Astyanax mexicanus: one gene and its partner. The protein of the gene in region 1 purifies or fractionates together with the protein of each later gene. This does not show direct contact. Links are inferred from orthologs where the notes say so. Each region holds a gene or a part of one and is shown in the gene's direction. Other genes may lie near its edges. The genes, in order: npm3 and nepro.

The links.
Region 2: the proteins of npm3 (region 1) and nepro purify together in Homo sapiens (affinity purification with mass spectrometry; 4 studies listed by BioGRID and IntAct, with this or other methods). This does not show direct contact. The link is inferred for Astyanax mexicanus from reciprocal best matches to the Homo sapiens genes NPM3 and RMP64.

The regions. Positions count from the first base shown.
Region 1 is NC_064414.1:23,213,442-23,225,319, reverse strand, and holds npm3 (nucleoplasmin-3), read left to right. Parts: upstream 1-6,201; 5' UTR 6,202-6,328; coding exon 6,329-6,401; intron 6,402-6,829; coding exon 6,830-6,915; intron 6,916-7,019; coding exon 7,020-7,139; intron 7,140-8,840; coding exon 8,841-8,934; intron 8,935-9,809; coding exon 9,810-9,910; 3' UTR 9,911-10,711; downstream 10,712-11,878. Other genes in the region: oga (protein O-GlcNAcase), read left to right, coding at 248-339, 872-1,064, 1,202-1,361, 2,149-2,285. UniProt on the Homo sapiens protein: Plays a role in the regulation of diverse cellular processes such as ribosome biogenesis, chromatin remodeling or protein chaperoning. Modulates the histone chaperone function and the RNA-binding activity of nucleolar phosphoprotein B23/NPM.
Region 2 is NC_064418.1:10,449,915-10,461,868, reverse strand, and holds the start of nepro (nucleolus and neural progenitor protein), read left to right. Parts: upstream 1-6,775; 5' UTR 6,776-6,973; coding exon 6,974-7,058; intron 7,059-7,248; coding exon 7,249-7,403; intron 7,404-8,094; coding exon 8,095-8,183; intron 8,184-9,121; coding exon 9,122-9,250; intron 9,251-10,046; coding exon 10,047-10,124; intron 10,125-10,801; coding exon 10,802-11,157; intron 11,158-11,954. Other genes in the region: tex30 (testis-expressed protein 30), read left to right, coding at 700-723, 3,490-3,723, 3,804-3,855, 4,605-4,816, 5,130-5,288. UniProt on the Homo sapiens protein: May play a role in cortex development as part of the Notch signaling pathway. Downstream of Notch may repress the expression of proneural genes and inhibit neuronal differentiation thereby maintaining neural progenitors.

The DNA.
Region 1 (11,878 bases):
CATGCTCAAATATGTGTTAATTTTAAAAAGCTCCTGGTATTTCTATGTAAAGAGCCCCAGATTAAATCATGTTTCAAGGCTAATTTGCAGCAAATGGGATCCATTCTGCTGAATCAGCTGTTTGGTCCACTTGTTACCCTTCAGATGCCATGATCTAAAATGAAAGCAAATAAGGGTTCTTCCACATGCCATTTCTCTCTTTCTCTGCCTTGTTGAATGTGTGATTGTATTGTGTCTGTTTTTTTAGACTGCTGTCTACAAGATTTGCAAAGAAATGTATACAGAGGGATGTAATGACCTTCCTTTCTCTGACCAGGAGCCAGACCTGATTGGAGACAGGTACCAAAATGAATGTGGATAGTTTAAAGTGCGTTATATGACCACTATAAAATAATGATGCTGTATGCCTGAAAATATTCGGATACAGCCATAACTAGACTCTTCCTGCATTGCACACATTGTATAATCTGTGTAGAAAGTTGCAGCACTTCTAATATGCATGAGACACTTATGGCTAGATTTCTGGACAGTGATTAAGCCTAGTCCTTGACAAATGTTCCTTTTAGTGGGAGAACTCCATTCAAAATGCTGTGTAGTCCAAGACTAGACTCAATGCCAGTCTGTGAAACTGCTCTTTTTCTCCACTAAATGTAAGCTAATTTGATGTGATTGAGTACCATTGGAGACATAGTGAGATTTTTACATTGATTAGTGTTTGTAACTCAGCAGTGTTGCCACCTGTGAGTAGAGATCTGTGTACCGGCTTTAGGGTGGGAAAGCAGTGTGCCTAGATAACATTTACTGTACTCCCCCACTGTGTTTAACATGGTATGAGTTCTGCAGTGCCTTACATAGTCACTGTCTCCTGTAGGTTAGTAGGAGGGTTTCTGACACTCAGCCCAGACTATGGCTTCGTCTTGGAAGATGAGGATGGAATCTGTGGCTATGCCCTGGGCACTGTTGATGTTCAGCCCTTTGTAACGAAGTGCAAAATGAGCTGGATTCCATTCATGCAAGAAAAATATAACAAACCTGACTTAGAGAAGGACCTGTCTGAGGCAGAGGTAGGATTCACTCCTCTATATTCATGTCTTCATTAGGATTCACTCCTTTATATTCATGTCTTCATTATTTATCCAGTCTTCTAAAATGTCTGACCAGTCGTTTGTCTTCTAAAATGTATGACCCCTTCCCTCTGCAGAAGATGATGCTAAGCTTCCATGAAGAGGAGGAGGTTTTGCCTGAATCATTCCTCAGTAATTTCCCCTCCCTCATAAAGGTGGACATTCAAACAAAAGTCACTGACCCCAGTGTAGCCAAAAGCATGATGGGTTGTCTCCTCTCGTCTTTAAAAGCCAACGGTATGTGCAGGATTCTATTTTTGTCACAGATTCACAAACATACATATACTATTGCATCTAAAAAAATAGAAAATATTATACTTTTGGCTGTGTGGGCAGTGTGCCAAGTCCTGCTGGAAAATGAATTCCGCATCTCCATAAAAGTTTTCAGCAGAGGGAAGCATGAAGTGCTGTGTTTTTGGGAAAACACTGCACTGACTTTGGACTTGATATAACACAGTGGATCAACACCAGCAGATCACATGACTCTCCAAACCATCACTGATCGTCAGTAAATTTTAATTTTGTTTGGAAATCAAGGGACCAGAGTCTGAAGGAAGACACAGTCCAGTCTCAAGCTGTTTGAGGTCTAGTGTGATGTTTCTACAATGGTTTGTGCTGGTGTTGGTTCACTGTGTTATATCGAATACAACATTTAAATGATATTCTAATTTTTTGAGATGCACTAGTATGTAGCAAGTTTAACAAGTATAGCTTTAGGGACAAAACTGAACTGGTTGCATAATTTAGAAAACAATTTTCTGATTACAAAAATTAAAAGAAAAGGTGATTTAAGCTTAAACTAAGCTGAACCTTTTCAGTTTTATATATGTGCCCTTCTCCCCTGTAGACTAGACAAATACAGTAAAAGACAGTAGTGATCTGGTATGATTTCTAAATTTTAAAAAAGCTGATATTGTTCAGAAAGATTAATAGCCTTAAAGCTATTATAGAAGTTTAAAATCTATTATCACTTGTTTGAATGACTTTGTTCTCCTGATAATTTTACTGCACTTTTCTGTGTTAGGCTCCCATGGTGCCTTCTGTGAGGTCCGGCAAATTGACAAACGGATGTTGGACTTTTATGGCAAACTTGGCTGCTTTGAAGTGGCCAAAATGGAGGGCTTTCCAAAAGATGTCATCATAATGGGGAGGAGCTTGTGAAGGGTTGGAAGACTTTTGAAGAATTTTGGAAGAACTTGTACAAAGCTGCAGTGGTCTGTGTAGAAGGCTCAGAGTGCATTTCAGTCATGTTCAAGTAACAATCAGTGATCCATTTTGTAAATCTTTGTTGCACCCATTGCAGGCTGCTGTTCTAGCTTTATTCTGCAAAGTGTTTTTTTACAGAAACTGCTGGAGACACTTGTATAATATAAGGTGCTTCTCTTAGATATTGTGCTTTTGCCAATCAGAGGTGGCGTGCAAGAATATGTGTGAGTGCTTGTATTGCCTTTTCAATGAGACCCTCCTCTGGTCTGCAAGACAGCTTGAGCTGGCCAGGTGTCATTTTAGCCCATTACACCTCTCAAATGCAGCTGGTAGGCAGTCACTCACATTCGGTACACTGCAAAATTCAGTGAGTGGACTTAGACACAATCAACAGCCTAAAGCTACAATAACTTAAGAACAAATAAGTTTATCTACATTCATTTTGCCTCTCCGCTCCTGTGCTTTAATGCCTATCCAGTGGTAGATCATTATGCAGGCTGAACCACTGCTTTTTGTTGATGTTTTGCAGTTCTCCAGATACAAAATGATAACAAAACAGTGGAGTGAACTCAGCAATTTAACAGATTGGGTGTGTCTTTGTTCTCGAAGAAGGATTTTATTGTGTGGCATGATGGCTTGAAGAAAAAGTATACAAGGAACCTGAAACTGTAAGGGAACAACAGTGGAGAGGAGAGACCCTTGTCCTTAAAATTGCATGGATATTACTTTTGTGCATAAGCTAGTAGCATGTGTATCTTGATGATACATTTTTGTGATTTGTACAGCGATGCCTTCCTGTCTGTGGCCTTCTTTCGAGGCTCCGCCACCCTTCCCTGCAACCCCTTTGAGATATTGAGATCTGATCTGTTCCACACGTCTTCGAGTTTGTGTTCATTATATTTTGTGGAGATAAACCATGGTTAGATAACCGTTCATACATTTGAAGTTTTTGGCTGGAGGTTTTTAATTTTTGTCATGAGAATGTCCACCAAGATATCTGACCATGGCAAGGCAAGTCCTAATGTATAATGACAGTAAAGCAATATTTGACAAGAAAATATATTGACACTGAGATGGCAGTGTTTTTGTTTCCATGCCCTAAAATTTTTACATATTTTTCTAAGGTTAAAGTAGGTGTCAGCTCATCTTTTTTTTGTTTTAACTGGTATAAACTCGTTTACCAACAGATCATGGACAGATAACTAGTCTAAATACTCATTGGCATAAATTGGACATTTTGGCACAAATATGCTCCAAATATGTAAAGATCTCCCAAATAAGAGTTTTTGTAGTCTCTAGCAACTGCAATGACAAATGCACATCGTTTTCAGCCTTCAATAATAAAAAAAAACTCTAGGAACGAAAAGGTATTTTTCCCTCCACTTGTTCTCTTTTGGCCAACCATGGGGAGCTTGACCTTGCACGGCCATGATTTCTTATGGTTTTTATTTCACCATGCCTGCTATTTTGTTCTGGAAGTTGACATCATATTCAAGTAGAAAGGGCTTCATTTTTTGAGAGTCTAAATACAATTAACAATTTAAAAACATTTCTGTACTTTGGGTTGTAATTATGATAATGTATGTAATGTAGTTATTATACTTTCTGTAAGGTTTGTATGTAATTAAAATGGTTAATTACAATAAAGTATGTTAAATAGATTTTCTTTGTTGCTGTTTTTCTTCTATAACTTCAGCCAAATTAATTATGATTTGTGTTTCTATTGCTAAGTTACCCTTCTATTTTGGATTAACTATCTCTATCTAAAGTTTTAGGAGACTATGAAGCATTGTTGTAAATACTTGAAGGCATTCAGCAATAATAAGGTTAACAAGGGCAGGGTGCTTGATGATTACTACCCCACTTAATCACAGCTCTACAACTCAATGCTGAAGGCTCTATACCCATAGTCTCCCAAAGTTATATTTGCAAAACCTCTCTTTACAGATAGTAGATGAGCACTACATGTGTCTTTGCACATCGGTGTCTGCAGAGGTTGCTAGCAACTTAATATTGCTCAATGCATTCATTAAAATAGATATCCACAGATGTCTATGTAACCTTTCACGCATTAATTGCTGGTCCTTTTATTCAGAATTTAGACTGTTTGCAGTGCTGAAATTACACTGATTGCTGTCAGTGCACTATGGCATGCTGCTTTTTCCAGGCAGATCAAGCCCTTTAGTGAAAATAGGAATTCAATATGCCAGATCTGGTTTGCCCACACTGAGCCTAACGCTACTCCAAATATATATATATATTTATAGATATATATTAAATATTTTAAATAGTTCATACTTTTCATATATACACATTATTTAGAAATAATTCACCAAATCAACACTAGCACTAGGTTTGTAGTTACTTCTATTTATCTATTTTATTAACTAGTAGCAGCTACTATTTCCAACACGGTGAGTTGCTTTTAATTAATGATGCAGTTGAAACTAAAAGGACAGACTTCTTCAAATCTGTCCACAAAAGTAGGACGACAGACTCTTCCCTCTGATTGACCATTTAAGCTGGAACAGTAAAGCTACTAAAATGAACTACTAGCCATTTCTTATGCTTATTAAGAAAATGGCCATAAAACGCTGAAACTACAAAGGACACTACAATAATATATAAGTTATTGTCATTTATGACAAGAAAAATACATTTGTGGGTTTCTTTGGTCGCTTGTGCCGCCATCTTGCTAGTGATTCTCACAACCCTCAGTTTAGAGTGTGCCTCTGAAAAGACTCTGTTTGAAGGATCATGTTGCTCTAACACTTCCCCCTACCTACCCAGCCTAACAAGAATCAGGACACCAGGCGGTAAAATGGAATTGGGCATTGGGCTGGGTGATTTGCCTTTCAAATTGAAGAGAAAATTGATTAAAATTAGAAATAAATTGGACAAATATTTAACACACAAAAGATAAATTGTGACCGTACTTCATTTCTCTGTTTATATGTGTGGCCAAGACTAGCATGTCGTGACCCAAATTACATAAATATACATACATAATTGCCAAACCATAAAATAGAAATAAAGTTTAAAGAGTTTAAAAGGGAAACAAATATTGTTCTGTAATTACATACTTTTGTATTGTTTTATTATTATTGACTTATTAGTGATTAGTAATTTTGGTATAATTAACAAACAATAAAATAGAAATTTTATCATTTAATAGGACAGAAAATTAATTGTTCTATAAAAAATTACAGACTAGTTTATTGGTTAATAGTTTTATTGTTAGTGGCTCTAACCTGATTTCAGATTTTTACATTTTGTCATTTATTTAAATATTTGACAAATTATAAAATAAAAATAAAGTAGGATTTAAAAGGAAATAAAGTTAATTGTTATGTACTTACGACTTGTCTATTATTATTTTTTATAATTAGTGACCTGATTTCAGACCTAGTGGGGAATGGCTTTAATATTTCACAAGATCATTTTTATATAATTAACAAACCATAAAATAGAATTGTTCTGTAAAAAATCAGACATGTTTTGGTTTTATTATCAGTGATTCTGACATGATTTCAGACCTGGTGGGGAATGGCTTTAATATATCAAAATATCTTTTTGATATAATTAACAACCATTACATAGAAATAAAGTAGAATTGTTCTGTAAAAATTCAGACTTGTGCATTGTTTATTGTTTTATTCTTAGTGACTCTGACCTGATTTGGAATTGCTTCAATAGATCAAAAGATCAAAAATCAAGATTGTTTTTGAAGCTGTAATAAAACTATTAAAAGATATACATAAAAAACAAAACATGAATGGCTGACAAAATAAAAGTCCTTAAAGGTTTACAGAACGACTTACCCATTTAGAAAAAAATAAAAGAAACTAAAATATCACGAAAAGCTTGTTGTCTGTGACGTCATCACCCCTGCGCCGTGTCTAGTGTAGCTCGTCACATGTTTTGAAGCCTCTCTGTCTCTGTCTGTGCTGCTCATAATTCAGTCTCAGTTCAGCGTTTTCTCGGAATATTGTGGGGAAATGTCGTTTTTAGAGGACGAAAGCTCAGACGGCGGCGCCGGGGCCCGCGCGCAGCTAGAGAGCTATGTTTTTAGTAAGCCGAGTTTCTGTTGTTTACAGACAGTATTTCCTAAGCGTTAGCTTTCTGGCTAACACACGTGGAGGAATGTTGCGCTTAAAGCAGCTGGACTGAAATTCACACATTCATTCAGTGCGGGCTGGAAAAAAGCCTCTTGCAAACAATACTGCTAAAACATTTTAGCTGTTGATGGCTCTACTTTAATGGTGGAGAAGAGGAATAAAAATTTAGTTTTTTTTACTGGAAGAGTATAAATACTTCAGCATAGCGCGATACAGTGGCCATTATGTTACACGGCCGGTTAAAGTTACATGGCACCTAGTTTGGCTCAGCATATATAACCTAGACAGGTTAGCTACGCTAAATCAATGCAACATTACTAAAACGTAAAATGCCTACTTTATTATAAATCTAAGTAATAAATGTTTCTGTTTGTCCTGAAGGCTGTGAATTATCCTCTGAAGTACCGTTCTACACTTTTCAAGGGGATGAGGAGGAGGACCTGGAGCATTTTCTCGAGCTCAGGACGGTTTGTAATAACTTTAGTTTAAAATTCAGTTTAGGAGCAGTAAGTTGGTTAGTTGGTAACTCTGTGTGTTCAGATGTTCTCACTTTATGTGTAAACTCCTCTAGATCTGCCTCGGTGAGGGAGCTAAGGAGGAGAATAACGTGGTGGAAGTCACTGCTATGAACCATCAAGGAAAGAAAATATCAGTGCCTGTAGCAAATCTCCACATATCCTGTCTTCCCATGGTAAAGAGTTTCTTAATCATTTTACATTTCACTATTTAAGTTTATAAAAAAAAAAAATCAGCACCTCTTAGTTCATTTCATTTGTTTTGTTTTCTTTGATTTTTTTTTTTTTAATCTAGAGCTGTACAAATCTGGGATACAGGTAGCTTCTCTAATAATAATAGTAGTTGTAGTAGTAAAAATAATATTAATAATAATTACAATAATAGCAACAACAGTTGTCGATGACGATATGATTATTATTATTATTATGAACATTTGTTATTATTGTTACAAAAATTGTAATCATAGTTGAGAAGCTAGCATAGTGGAAAGTGAGTAGCCTGATATCTGAGAACCTGATGGTGCAGAGGGGATCATGAAGGGCTTTGATGCTTAATACATACATTGTATATTGCTGAATATATATATATATATATATATATATATATATATATATATATATATATATATATATATCATTTTTTTACTTACTTAAGGTATTGACAAAGACAATTAGTGATAACAAAGCTATGTGTTCCAGATTTTACACAGCCACTTTTATCATTTAGTGACACATCCTGTAAAAAAGTTCTAGCAGCTCTTTAATTTTTTTCACTTAATGTAGCCTAAAAATAAGGGACACACAATGCAGTGTGCATATAAAATGCTTAAATAGGTAAATAAAAACAACAGTTTGAGGTTATTTTTTCATTTACTTAAAATCTGGACTGAATCTGTGTCAGATTTATTCTCTTATGTGAAGGACCTGATTGGTGAGCCCTCAGTTCAGGATAGAGTGGGTGTGTCTACTTGGTGTTTGGTTCAGTAGTGAAGCTTCACACTTTTGCTGTTTCACTAAAAAGTCAGGTTCAGCCATCACTCTGTTTTATTAAAAGCATGCTGTCTGAATGAGCTTGTTTGTTTTCAAGAGACAAGAGAGGATCTAGTTGGAATGCAGCGTAATCTATATCGATTGAATCAATCTAGTCTTATTCTATATCTTGTATAAAAATGTCTTTCTTTAAAACTCAATAGGTCACCCAGCTCTTATTCATAGTTTTAGTTATTATTTGCATGTTACCATAGCCAGTTTTGTTCTTGGTATCATGGAGAGATTAGCTCAGCCAAGACTACAGACAAAGACAAAGTCCTCCTGTAATCAGCTCTTGATTGACTAGGTCTTGCTCTTGGGCCCAACAGTGGCAGCATTAGTAACTATGTGCTCTCATTGCTATGCCTTTTTTTAAATACACATGTGTATTTAAATACAACTGTCAAGATCCAAAATTAATTTAGGCAAATGAATCTAATTGGTTTATGAGGCTTCTAGTGTGAACGTAGTCATGTTCAGTTTTTTAGGTTTATTTTAGAAACCAAAATATCTTGTTGTATAGCAAATACAAAGTAACTGACCATGCCACTCATTCATATGACTCTATCTTCCAGCAAAAAAACTCTGAATAAAGTCATGTTATTACTCATAATGTACTGTATGAGTATCAGTAAATGTGACTCACTTTTCCTGAAGGTGGTCTTCTGTTCTTCTGTGCTGTTGGATTATTTAAATCACTGAAATGACAAAAACAGATTTAATGAATACATTTTTACCCATATGGAGCAACTTTTTAAAAAATCTTTTTGTACTTCTGTAAAGTGTAGAATGTCTTAGGTTTTTGATGTTTTGATACTTACGCTATTTATACTATATATTTCTTTCAGGTTAGCTTGGGAGAATTTGAGTTGATGGCTCCTGTGACACTTCGCCTAAAATCTGGAAGTGGGCCTGTGACTGTTAGTGGACTGCACCTTGTAGGTGAGTGAAGGGGGGTGGGGGACACTTGAGGCCCATTCCATTTCCATTCCATTACCACTTAGCTTTGCATGTGCATCTCTGGGTTAGGGTGTCCCGATTCTTGTTATGTTAGAGTGGTAGAGGGAAGTGTTGGGGCTGCATGACCCTTCAAACTGAGTTTTTTTCTAGATGTTTGGAGGCACACTTCAAACAAAGGGGCTGAGAATTGCTGGTAAGATGGCAGCACAAGAGACCAAAGAAACACAAATTTAAGTATTTTATTTGTTAAAAATTATGATAACCATTATATTATTGTAGTTTTAGTGTGTAGTTTTAATATTTATCTCAGTAGCTTGCTAGCTAATGTTCCTGTTCCACCTTAAATGGTGCAACAGATGGCAGAGGCTGCAGCATTGAAGGTGAAATGGGGTTTAAAAAAAAAGTTAATAAAAGCTAATTTCAGCTCAGTTAATAAAAGCTTATTAACAGAGGAATTAAGGAATGGGCAATAATAATTAATTGCTGCACCACCTGTCCACTTTCTGAGGATATACACACAATAAGTTAACTAGCAGCTAAGTTGCTGAACTTTTTCCCTCCCTTTGATATATCTGTATTGGGTACTTGAAGAGTTGTCCCAATTCTTAGGGGGAGGATTTCCCCCCTTCCCCTTGAAACTCTGTTCTAAAGGGTTAACTCGAAAACAAGGGGTAGGGGTACAAAAGAGAAATGGGCCTTCCTTTCTTTTAGATTTCAAATATCACAGTTACAAAACAGGAAATGTATTCCTCTTAAATAGATAATGGATACATTTAGAAAATAACACAGTGTGAAATAAATAGCTCTGGCAAGTAAACAAGCACTGTTTTAACAATGTAATCTCTCATCTTTCTTAGCTTCAGAAAATGATGAGGAGGCGGAAGCGTCTGATGAAGATGAGGATTCTGTGGAGGAAATGCCCTCTATTAAGCCAGCCAAGAAGAAACAGAAACTGTAGATTCACCTTTTATGAAGATCATGAAGTTTTATAGAACATGCTATTCAATAAACTGTTTCCACTCACAGTTACAATGGACAGCAGAACCGAAATCTGAGGCTTGGATCTTTTTGTCAGTTTTGACAAATATTGGAAATTGAGACTCATTATAACCAGCTGTGATTCCTTTGGTCAAAAATATTTTTATTATGTAATATTTTGGAGTTTAGTTTCAAAATATCGTTATTGCCATGTTTGTGTTTGGAGTCACTAATTAAAGTTCTCAAGTTTAGTATACAGTAGAGATTCCTTATCCTAGCATGCTTTATAAATTCAGTTTAATTCTTTGCCTTGTTTTTTCCCAAAAAAAGAACAGCCACAACAAATTCTACATTTGTGCATAAAATATTTTGGAATACGATTTTACTGCATTGTGTATTTGTTTACTTTTTTGAGGGACTGTCATGTTAAAAGTAATGTTTTGTGTATTTTTTGGTTCACCACTAGTCACCAACCAAGGTGCACAATACTCTGTTCACCATGGTACATTCCACCTGTGCTACTGTTTTGTAATTACTCACTTTACAAGTTTAAATAGGAAAAAAACTTCTTATTGTATCTTTTATAGTCGGGCACTCTGTTTTTGCCTTAAATGGAGTCACCAGCAGTGATTTCTGCAGTTGTGCATGCATGGCTTAGTTTTTAGTTCTTTTGAAAGGCTGATGTGGAGGATGGGTTTTGAATGGAGCATTTTTATTGTATTATTTCTTTTTTTTATTTTACATTTATAGATTTTATGAATAAATCTCTCTCTGTTTACCAGTCTTGGAGCAACCCATTATTTGTGCAGCTTGGAAATTCTTGGACGATTGTTGTTCTGGAATAGTACTGTTAGATCTTTGGCCATTTGAAACTGCCTCGGAATTCTTAAAAAGATAAACTGATTCTCTGCTTGTTTTAACTCAAAATAAAGACAGATGGTGAGGTTCTAATCTAAGTGAAGGGGTTCCAACAGAAGAGCTCACAGTTGCTCAAAATGCCAGACATCTTTGTTAAATGTTAGACAATTGAAGCATGATATACGTGAACATGCTTAAAGTCATGGGATGGCAATATGAAAAATCCTCATAAAGTGTTTAAACTCTATAAGTTGTGTAGTGTTGTCGTGTGAGTAATGTTAAACACTGACCACCATGCTGACTAGTATCTCTTTGTGATCACAAGACCTACTGAAAAAGAATCATAAGACGTAGTAAAGATTTGAGATAGTTTTGTAATGGTATACCCTGACTTGCAACATATCATGGGACAAAAGCTAATATTGTCTCCTAATATGTTTGCCATTCTTCATGGAAGGTAAAGAACAATGCACTGACCTGCGTTACATATGTGTTTGTCCTCCTGCATTAAACGTGGATGTGTTTTCTGCCAGAATATCTTTTCTGTTCACACAGGCAATTCTAGCCAGATACTGCTGGTCACAATCATTACCACTCACTGTAAGGTGGGTCCAGACAACCTTAGAAATGGAATATCCAATTCATCTGGCACCCACAATCAGGCCTCACTCAAACTCGGATAATTCAAATCACCTTGTCATGAACATGTTTACCAGTGTTCAACCTAATTCACAAGATAACACCTCATAACATATACAGATGCAGGCAAGCTTTTAGGCTTTCCCCCTGAGATAAGAATCCCTGGTCAGACTTTTGGCATGTCAGTATATTTCCGGATGGACTGATGTCTGTAAAAATCTTACATGTTTAAAAGGTGCCCTTGATTGCAATTTCAATTTCAATGTTTTATTATATTTAAAAAAATCCCTTTTTCAGTCCAAATAAATGTTGCAAACAATGTAAAATAAATGCACCCTGTTTCACCTCCTCCTCCTCCTCCCCTCAGACAGGTGCTCTAGCCAAAGGAGGATTAAAACCACCAGACTGCAAAAAAGCTGCTTTCCTCACATCTTCACACTCAAGAACAATT
Region 2 (11,954 bases), on another chromosome or scaffold:
TAGAGACCCCCAAAATGACAACTGGAAATGACAACGGAAAAGACATTAAATGATACTTGGATATACCCAAAAGGACACTTGGAGATGCACAAAGGGTCACTTGGATCTCTCCAATGGGACAAGTGGAGATGTCCAAAAGGACACTTGGAGATCTCAAAGGGACACTTGGAGACATCCAAATGGACAGTTGGAGACATCCAAACGACAAATTGACAACTGGAGGTGTCCAAAATGACAAAAGGAAATGTCCTAAAAGACACTAGCGACATTGGAGCACGTGGGGATACCCAAAAGGAACCCTAGAGATACCCAAAGGGACACTTTGAGACCCCCAAACTAAAAACTGGAGATGGTACACCTACTGCTACATCTCACGGCAACTAGAACATTAATGTCTTACTCCATGAAATTTAATTCCATTTATAAAAATGGGCGCTTTCATGGCCGGATTCAGAAAGAAGTATTGTTTTTGTTTTTTTAGTTTAAAGTAAAAGCTAAAGGTGTGCATGTGAGGTCATAACATACTTTACAGGGTTAGTTAATTGATAGTCTAATACTGTGTGTGTGTGATGGTGTATTGTGATTTGGTTCAACTGGTCCTTGCTCATCACTGAAGGTTCAGATCCAGGCCTAGAAGTCGCTCCTCGCCACAGGGTGGTGGTATACAACCGACCTACCCTCAAACTTCACTGAGACTGAATGAAGATGGTGGCAGTTAGTGAGGTAGGAAAGAGTTACAGCGCGTGTTTATGAGTATTTTCTATAGTAGCACAGCTCCAGAACACCACCAGATTTAAACAGATAAACTGCTGTGTTTTACTGGGCTGAATTTATTGACCAGCTGTTTAGTGTTTCCCAACCAGGATCTGGAGAGCCCTATCCTGCACTGTTTACAGTTCTGTATGATAAACTGTTTTCTCTCAGAGTCACAATAAATAAATTTAATCTTGTTAAAATTAACCTGGTTTAAAAAAAACTTACTGTAGAGAAATGACAAGTAAATCTATGGAAGCCCATTTCCGCCACCTGAAGAAAAAAAACGTCCTCAACTAAGTCATAATTATGAGATAAAACTTTCTATCTCATAATTATGACTTTCTATCTCATAATTATGACTTTCTATCTCATAATTATGACTTAGTATCTCAAAATTATGACTTCTCTATCTCATAATTATGACTTACTATCCCATAATTATGACTTTAGGACGTTTTTTTTTCTTCAGGTGGCGGAAATGGGCTTCCATATAAATCAGTCATTTCACCTTAACATCTTCCCTGTATATACAGTAACAGTTACCAGTCAAAAGTTTCTAAACACATCTTTCATTGTGTTTTTTTTTTCTTTTTAGGTTTTTATACTTTGTAAATGTAGTATTGTAGACTATATTAAAGATCTACAGGATCACATGCAGAATCATTCTGTAAACAAAACAAAGTGTTAAACACACCAGGATATGTTTTATACTTTATATTCTTTTAAAAGAGTACCACATTTAGCTTTGAGAATAGATCTGCACACTGGTACATTGGTATTTTAATCTCAGTGTCTTCATGAGGGAGAGTCACTTGGAATAGTTTTCTTAGTCTTGAAGGAGTTCCTGGAGGTGCTGAACAATATATTTGCTGCTTTTCCTTTACACTGTGAAGCTTCAGCTCATCCCAAATCACCTCAAATCACCATCTCAGTTGATCAGGTTAAGATCAGGGGATTGTGGAGGTCTAACTTTTTTTTTTTTTTTTACTATTTACTGTGTAATTCCATATGTGTCCCTTAATTGTTTTCATGTCTTTCTATTAATCTACAATATAGAAAAGAAATTACAAAAAAAGAAAGAAAGAAAGAAAAACACTGAATGAGAAGGTGTGTCCAAACCTTTGACTTGGAGGATGTATTTCTTTGACTTTATTCTGTCTTTATTAAATGCAACATTTACAAGGAGCTGAGATTGTATTGTTACAGTGGTGGTGAAGATTTATAAGATGATGTCTAAATGTTTAATGTGTTGTTCACAAAGTCATTTTACAAATTGTTCTGGTTAAATATGACATTTCGGTTTTAAAACCATGCAAAACATATAGGGGCAAAAATAATCCTCGTAAAAATTTGCCACTAATTCACCTTCATCACTATTTTAAGATGTGTAGTTTTATAGGTGGGTTAGTTAATAAAATTGCTATATTTGCTTTGTAAACATAATATATATATCCAGGTTTGTGTCTTCACTAATATAAAGAAATTGAGTGATTATAAATCAAGCACAAACACGCTGTAATTCCTCTGTAATCTTTACTGTTTTGCTTCCTAATGGGAACTGTCTTATAATGATTACCATCAACAGCTACTTTAACAAAGGCCTTTAAGTTCCCATAAGGAAACGCATCATATCTGTCTATAACCAGTCAAAGGTCACATGTTTAACCCTTTGTTTTATTTACATTGTTATATCAACCCATCAAGAAAAGGAGCAATGACATAACAAACTTTTGTACTAGTGCTAGGAGGTTAATCAAATTAATTTGATTAATCAAACTACTGTATTAATGCACTTTTCAAAATGGGATAATCAATATTGTACATCTTTACATATAAAAGCTGACAGAGAGAGTTTCTGTCACAAACAGTAAATAGTAACAACCAATTAGGGCTGCAAACATTTTTCAATATAATTAACAATGTTGATTATTTGAATTTGTCAGCTACAAATTTAATTGTCGACTAATTGTTCATTTGTAACTATAACGCATTACACAAAGTGATGGGGACATAAGCTCAATGGGAGATGGGTAAATGGCTCACTCACACAGGTTACACTCAACTTAGTTTGTGTCCAAAACTCAACAGATATTTAATCCCTGAATATCAGTATTTTTCGCATTTAAACAACATCTAGACATTAAATTGCCTCTCAAGTCTCATGTTCAGCTGTTTCTATCGTTTTTAGATGTGGAGGACTTTGCAGAAATAGTCATTGACTAATCGAAAAAATAATCATCAGATTAGTCTACTACCAAAATAATCATTAGTTGCAGCTCTACAAACAATATTTATCACAATACAGGGTGTATAATTAAATATATCACAATATATTGTGAAAACATAAGCAGTGTGATATATTCTGATTGTTTAATATAAAATTATGGTGTCACTCTATTAACAAAATATACTAGATTAATCAAACTTTTTCTAATCAGTAAGATATGAATATATTATATTAGTTTTTATATTAGTAATAACAGTGTGGTATTCCTGGCAGACTAGAGCCTTTTTTACTTTATTACAGTAACTCATGGTTTTTAAAATAGTAGTTTTTAGTTACTGAGTTTTACCAAGCTTTTACTGCAGGAAATAAATGCTAGTGTAGTTCCAGATCCTGCGTTTCCATATATATATATATATATATATATATATATATATATATATATATATATATATATATATATATATATATATATATAGCCGTAACTTCATTTTTTTTTCTTTCTGTAGGAAAAAGTAAAAATTCCATTTGGAGCTAAGGTTCTAGATGGTATTCTGACAATTCCTGAGGTAAACAGCGTGAAGACAGGAGTTGTTCTCACACATGGAGCTGGAGGGGACATGAATCTGAAGGCCCTGCAGTCTCTGGCCAGCTGCACGGCCACCTCCGGGATCCTGTGTCTCCGGTTCACCTGTAAAGGTCTGAACCTCACCTACAGGGTCCGGGCATTCCAGGCAGCGGTAGTAAGTGGAGAACACAGTGCAGTGACAGTCATTAGCCTCGGGGTCATTGATGCTCAGCTTGCTTGGTTTTCTTTTTACAGGATTATCTGAAAACTCTGGAGAGATTCTCGCTGAGTCATGTGTTCCTGGCGGGTGAGTGATCTGTGCAGCCGCTAGAGCCTGCGGGGATAAATGTTTTACAGCAGGCGCATGTGATTTTAGTCACACATGGATAATGGATAATGGGTTGAAAAAAAAGAAGGTTGTCATAATCTTATGGTTTATTGCTGTATATCCTTTAAAGTACCTCAGGTTCTCTTATAAATGAACATTTTATTAAAAAGATCGGTACTGTAAATGTATGCCTATGTTGAGGGGTTTTGAAAGAAGAACTGTAATACATATGGTTCTCTAATAAGCATTTAGATTTCGTTTTCTAAATGTGCTCCACTGAAAATGTCTTTAAGGTTCTCTACAAAAGCTCAGCTTCAATTGTAAAGACCTTTTGGGAAACTTTAAGGAACCACTGAAAGAATCTTTAAGGAACCACTTTATGTTTTTCTGGGAAACATCTATTATGTATTCTAAAATGTATGCTTCTAAGAATGCTTGAGTTTTTAAAGAACCATTAATTAAAAGGATTTCTAAGGAACCACATTTTGTTCGCCAATAAATATTTTAAAGAGCCAAAACCTGAAATAATCAAAGAAATCAGCTTAAGGAACCACATTAAAAATGTCTTCCAGGTTCTATATAATGCTTCTACCAATGGTTCCTTAATGTGATTCTTCCATTAAAGAACCTTCCATTGAAGACTCACATTCAATAAACTCACATTTTTTTCAACTTTACATTAAAACAACACAAGGAAAAACAAAAGGAACGTGTCTGTGTTTTGTCAGGTCGTTCCATGGGTGCACGAGCTGCCGTGGCTTTGGGAAGACAGCTGAGTGCCGTGGACGAGGATGCTGTGCAAGGCCTGGTGTGTGTCTCCTTCCCTCTGCATCCTCCTGGACAAACTCATACACAGGTTAAGAGAAGTGAAGACCTCAGAGCGTTGTGTCACGTCCCGGTGCTATTCGTATCTGGAACTGCTGACAATATGTGTGAGCAGGTGAGTGTGCCTCATCGGTTTACCGGTTGTCCTTCCTTGGAGCACTTTGGATAGATCCTGACCACTGCATATCGTGAACACCCCTCAGTACTTGCCTGATGTTTTGGAGATGCTCTGAACCAGTTATGTAGACATCACATATTTGGTTTTGTCACAGGGCTTAGTATATTTTCACACCCATAACTTTTAGTCTAGTTAGTCTTGCACCATAGACAGCATAGAGAGTCTAGTAGTCTCTCACCGAGAAGCACACTACTCAAAAAGAAGCTTTTACAAAAACAGGTGTGACTATACTTTTGTTCTTGCTTGTCAGAAACTTCTGGAAAATGTTTTGAAGCAGATGAAGAGCCCCAGCTCTGTGCACTGGGTGGAGGAGGCCAATCACGGCCTGGCAGTAAAGGGAAGGAACGAGGAGTCTGTGCTGGAGGAGGTCAACTCCCAGATCATCACATGGATACAGAAGCATGTCTGAAGATGCTTTGTTATCAGGACTACTTGTTGGGTGTTTTGATACTCTTTATATTATACATCATAACTTTATACATGTATATATGGCAAAAGATGATTTGTCCAGTTTTTGTAAATAAAGCATTGTATCTGAGATGGGTCAGCCATTGTTTGCTTTGTTCAGTTCATGTTTGGCACTACAATAACATTGCTTCAGAGTGGACTACAGGACTGGACCTAGCAAACTCTCATCTTCAGCAGAAAAAGGATCCACACTTGACCCTTTTGGAAGGTTAATGACGTCTAGATCTGCTTCGAGTGGAGCAAATGTTTAACTCTGTCTTTGATTCCAACTTGTTTAAGACAAGCTGTGTGTGTGCATTTACACATCTGTGTCAGCAACAGGTGCAGTAGTTTAATGTATTTATTAGGAGGGATATCCACAAACATTTGGACATTCAGTGTATATTAGGAAACACTACATTTTGTTCAATTTCTTTAAAAAATATGGTTACAAATGAACTTTGTTTTGGAGAGTCATGTTATCTGCTGGTGTTGGTCCACTATGGTATATCAAGTCCAAAGTCAGTGCTGTGTCTACCAGCAGATTTTGCAGTAGTTCATGCTTCCCATGCTTCTACTGACAACTTTTATGGAGAAGCAGATTTCATTTTCTAGCAGAATTTGGCACACTGCCGACATTGCCAAAAGTACCAATTGGTCTTTTATTCAAAATATTTAAATTTTCAGATATTTGAGTTTTCATTGTCACTCTGTGTAATGTCTCTATATAATATGAGTTTCACATTTTTTTTTTAACTTTTTGTCTTTTATGCTCTATAGGTCCAGTCAATAACCAGAAATTGTATAAAGTACCAGAGCTTTTAAAACAATTCATGAACCATTGTAAAATATATAAATAAATATTGCAAACAATTCGTTGGTTAACAGCTAAAAGAAATAAACTGAGCTTTGGATATGGATTTTATAAAATGTCAATTTACAAAGCCTTTGTAGCAAAGCAGTATTGGAACAGATTGTGTTACTGCACTCTATACTCCAGCATTCACACTTTCATCATCATAACTATAAAAAGACACAGAAACATGGATAACCACTTCCAATCTGATCTTAAAAACAGTAAAACTAATAGAACATGAACATGCATTAAATTAAAAAGCAGTTACTGCAAATATTAGTAGAACACGTTCATTTCTCCATCCAATCATTTTTAGAAATGATATGGTAATGAAATGTAAATGCTAATTCAAAAGGCAGAAGGTTGAAGACATTATGTTGATTCAGCGTTAAAATTTCAACATTTGCACAACCATTTAACATTAAATGTTGATTCAACGTTGTTTCAACATTGAAACAACAACATACATTACGATAGACATCCCCCCCTTTAAATTTAGTGGGAAAACCGCGAACTTGGCAACTCTGGTTAGTTTGATAGGGGTGTTGAAGAGCTCTGTTGTACATTGATATTTATATGATGAAATTTGCTGTTTAAATAAAATATAATGCCTGTTTTATGTACAAAAAGTAAAATGTAGAATATAAAAATGTATAATGTATCATTTTAATAAGAAAGTCTGTGCTGTTGCCTATTCCTGAAGAAGTTTTTTCTTTAGGGGGATTCTAGTTTCGAGATCTGGCAACCCTGATGTCGTCACGCCTCTTCCCTGTTGTTACCTGTACAGAAACATGGCGGTGGATGTGTGGAATAAAGTGAATATTCCTCGGCCGAGTGTTGTTTCCACGTGTCGAATGGACTTCAGGGCTGAAACAGGTACTGTATATTTATATTTACACGGTCTTTAAAGGCTTTAGTTTAGCAGAGACTGGCCCGAACCCTCACAGTGCACGTGCTCGGGTGTTGTTTACGCTGCGCACGTGCACTGCAAGGCCAGGCTCGCGCTGAACTAAACGCAGAAGGGATTTGTGTGTAAAAGTAACGAGTGTTTTTAATCCTGATTCAGACAGAATAACAGAACGGGTAGTGTCTCACTGTGAAGATGCGCTGAAACTGCTGCGCAGTAAAGTTCTGCGGACGGAGATCCGCCTGCTGTATGAGATCCTGTACGTGGTGAACAACAGCCAGAGACAGCACAAACCCTTCAGAGCCGTTAAACAGGTCAGTAAACTTTATTATTTATGTGGCTTCATATTAAAGAAAATATGCAAAAATAAAGTTACTAAAATATACTGTAAAATATCAGGACTAGGAGAAATTGATCTGTGATTTCAGATATATCCCTTATAATACAGGTCTAAACCTAGAGTAAAATAACAATTATTATAATTTACAGGACCTTTATTTTGAAATGACACAAGTGATACAGTATTAAAAGTCATGTGTCCATGTGTGTTAATCTTATGTATGTAAATTATTATATCATATTTCTTTTTTATTTTAAATTAAAATATAAGTATTAGCCTTTTGTTTTGCATTCTACCCAATACATTAACTAATTTACTTACATACAACGTTGAAATAACGTTGATGTTATGGCAACGTTGTTTTAAGTTTATACGTTCTACCATAAAAAAAACTCTATGCCGTCATGACAAATGTACAGTTTTATTTTTATTCTCTCTCTCTGAATATACATCTCATAAAAGTAGGATCTGTAGCTACAACTAGGAACAAAAAACTACAAGTAGCTAAAACTAGAAAATCCTATGGTTAACAGAGTATTAACAGTAAACTTATCACTGTAGTAAAGCTACAGAATATAAAGCATCTGTGTGTGTGTCCGCACAATACTTATGTTGCTAAAGTAAGTAACAGCTTTGTTAATAATGGTGTGATTTGTTTGCTGCAGGTGGAACAATGCATAAACCGGCTAAACGAAATGAAACTGCAGGGGGCTCTACAAGACCTTCAGGAGCTGTGCCCCAACAAAATTCAGAGGTACAAAAGGTTTTAATAGGGAGCTTGTGCCCCTTTTTCGGTTTGAGCTGCTCCTGTGTGCCACATTGCATTGGTCAGTCATTCCAGACAAAGATATACATCATTTGTACTGGACACAGATTGAATTTGATGATTGATGAATGATGCCATACTGAGGATGTGATTATTACTCTTAAACGCGTCAGAGTGCAGTTTTAAGCAGTGATGAACAATAAACGATAACCACCATGTTTAGTGAACTTAGCTTTTATTTGAACTTTTATGTGATTTTATGTTTGACCAAGATTGAGGCACCAGACTGCAGTTTAGGGACTGTAGTAAAAATACTTAAGTATTATATAATAAGTAATGAATAAATCTGATTAATTTTCTCAAAATGTGACCAAATCAACTTATATTTATATTTTATTGTTGACAAAAGGGTGGTTTGGGTAGGACTGTTGTGAAATACAGATCTGGAAAAAAGTAAGAGACCAATTTTCTCTTTTTTTTTCTATTTATCTGTATATGTTTGAGTAAAATGAACATAATATTGTCGTTTAGAGCATTTATTAGCAGATGAGAAATGGCTGAAATAACAAAAAAAGATAATGCAAAGAAAACAAGTTTATATTCATACAACGCTTTAAGAGTTCAGAAATATTTGGTGGAATAACCCTGTTTTTAATCACAGTTTTCATGCATCTTGGCAAGTTCTCCTCCACCAATCTTACACAGTGCTTTTAGATAACTTTATGCCACTCCTGGTGCAAACATTTAAGCAGTTCAGCTTGATTTGATGGCTTGTGATCATCCATCCTTCTCTTGATTACAGAGGTTTTCAGTTTATAAAAATCAAAGAAACTCATAATTTTTAAGGGGTCTCTTATTTTTTTCCAGAGCTGTATTTGAGCCTAACTCGGTGACCAGTATTGTTCTGTCATGTGTTTTCTGTACAGGGATGTTGGGGTGGAAGTTGGAGAGTGCAGCGTGCCCAGTCAGCCCATGCTGGAGTGGTTTTGTCTCAAACTGCTGGGAGCTTCCAGTCTCCTGGCTCGAACCCTGGACCAGTGTATCAAAGCCTTCTCGTATCCTTCACTGCTTTTAGAGATAATGCAAAACAATTTACAAAAAAGATTAAATTGCATAAATAGCATGTAAACGTAGCCTTCATTCAGGATTACACATTTCTCACAAGAGGTTGTTGAACTTTTCATAAAACATCCATAAAACAATCATAAAACTACAGTCCTTGGCAGTAAAAGGTGTAAGTAATTTCGAACAGATAAAACGCAAGGGGACAACTTTATTACTGTTAGTGTTCTTTTTTTTACATTCAGAATTTGATGCATAGTCAGCATATACTCTGTGGACAAAAGAACTGGGATACCTACATAATACATCTATAGGAGCTTTTATTATATCGCTTTCTTAATCCATAGGCTTTCCTTTGCAGGTAGAACAGCTTTTTATACAAGATTATTTGAGCTGGGAATGATGTTAAACCTACACTGACAGAATTCCAATTAAATGTTAAGATAATTGTACAGTATTTCAAAACATTTCCAAAAAAAACATTTAAAAACCTTGTAGTTTCCCACAACTTGTTTGTCAGGTCTAAACATGTGTTTTTTGACGAATCTGCGACTAAATTAATGAGATACAAATGGATGCCTATTGTTTTTTTCCCCTTTACTACTATTGATGTGCAGTGTAGCCATCCTTAATTTTGAGTTGGTGAGTTAGTGAGGCTCTCTGACTTTACAAATAGGAAATCTGACTTGGAAATCAGAAATTCCACCATCCAAGATTTAAGTTTGAATAGAAAGCATCAAGTGGCTTTACTTGTGTTTATCATAAAACCTTGACTCTCTAACTGGACAGACTGACGAGGCAGCACCTACGGCTGGCTGAGTTCATTGTGTTGAACTTGGTCATTTTAAGCATGATCAGTCGACTCTGGTATGTTCAAAACTATTACTGTGTGGATTGATACACTAAAACAAGTTATTAATGCTCCATGCAAGACAATACAACTGTAGATTTATTGATTAATTCTAAATATTGTTAAAGATAAAGGGATTATTATTATTTTTGGTAACACATACAGTAACATACACACACACATACACATGGTTACAATAGATGTACATTAACAGAACTTACGACAGAATGTCTGAATTAATTATTAATGGGCACTGTCTCAGTTGTTTCATTTTATTAATATTTACTTTATCAAAATCATGTTAAAATTTGTGACATATTTTTTGGGGTGCTTTCCTTTTTGCCCTTCTTATTGTATATATAATGCTGCATAATATATTGTTTAGCATCGGCATTATCAGTGTGCACATGGGTTATAGTCACATCATGCAGTGTAACGTATGATTTTTGCAAAACAGAGAACTTGGTCAAAATCTAGGCTTAAATTTCATAGATGAAGACAAAAACCCAACAAAAAACACATGGGGAAAAAATATCTGAAAAAATGGGGGGGGGGGGATATCTGAATATCTGCAGCACTTTTTTAATATATATGAAAGATCCCAACATCACTACATGAAGTACACATGGTTTAGCGAATTAGATTTTAGAACCTCTTCTTTAGCCCACACCTCTTTTTCTTTAATGTTTTCCAGGGTGTTCTTTAGAGGTATCCTGAGAGCCCTCTTGCCCATATACAAGAGCACCATAGAGCTCCGTCAGCAGGTGGCCCAGTGTGTGCCGATGGCCTACCTGACCGATTACAACCTGCCTCAAGATCTGGAAAGCTTTCTAGGCACCTCCCATCGTGACCTGCTCAAGGTAGAGAGTACAACGTTAGCCCCCAAGACCTCTGCCCTCAACAAGCTCTTTCAAGGAGGAACAGAGGAGCAGGTGGAGGATGGAGGAGAAGAGGAAAGCCAGATGATGCAGATGCTGGCCAGAGAGGGACCGGGGAAGTCTAGCATGGATCTAGGGACGACCATTTTACGAGAAGGTCCATTTTACTCTGGTAGGTCTGCCTTGTCTGTCTTTTCACCACAGTTACACTTCTATACACTGATCATCAAAGAGGTGGTTTCATCCAGAATGGCATTTCAGATTGCAGTGTGAGACAAAAGGTTACCAGGGACAATAAATGATTAAACATTTAGACTGATATTGTCTACTCTTGAGCTGCACGTGAAGAAGTCAAGAGTAACATGTATGTAACATAACATGGCATCTGTCTCAGCATGAAGTTGTAGAGGTTCCTAATGGTGTTCTGCAATAATACATCCCATGCAACTTGACACACAGTACCTGCAGATGTTGCAGTTGGGAAGGTGTGTTGTTGGCATGTCCAATAGAATCCCACATACAGTACCAGTCAAAAGTTTGGATACACCTTTTCATTCAGTATTTCAATTTTTTTTTATTGATTTTTTCCCCCCCTACATTGTCAATAAATATTGAAATCATCCAGACTGTGAAGCAAAACATAAGGAATTATTTAATAACTTAAAAGTGTTAAACAAACCAAAATACTCTTTGAAGCATTTACATGCTCTTATCTGAGGTGCTGTTAACCTGTGCTTTCTGAGGCCAGTAACTCTGATGAACATATCCTGTGCAACAGAGGTGACTTTTGCTCTTCCTTTCCCGGGGCAGTCCTGATGTGAGCCAGTTTCATCAGAACTTTGAGTGTCTTTTTGATGGCACTTGAGGATACTTTTAAAGTTTTGGAATGTTTCTAATTGTCTAACCTTCATTTTTTTCAAGTCTTTTTTTTTTGCTTTCTTGACATAGTTCTTGCCATAATATGGATTA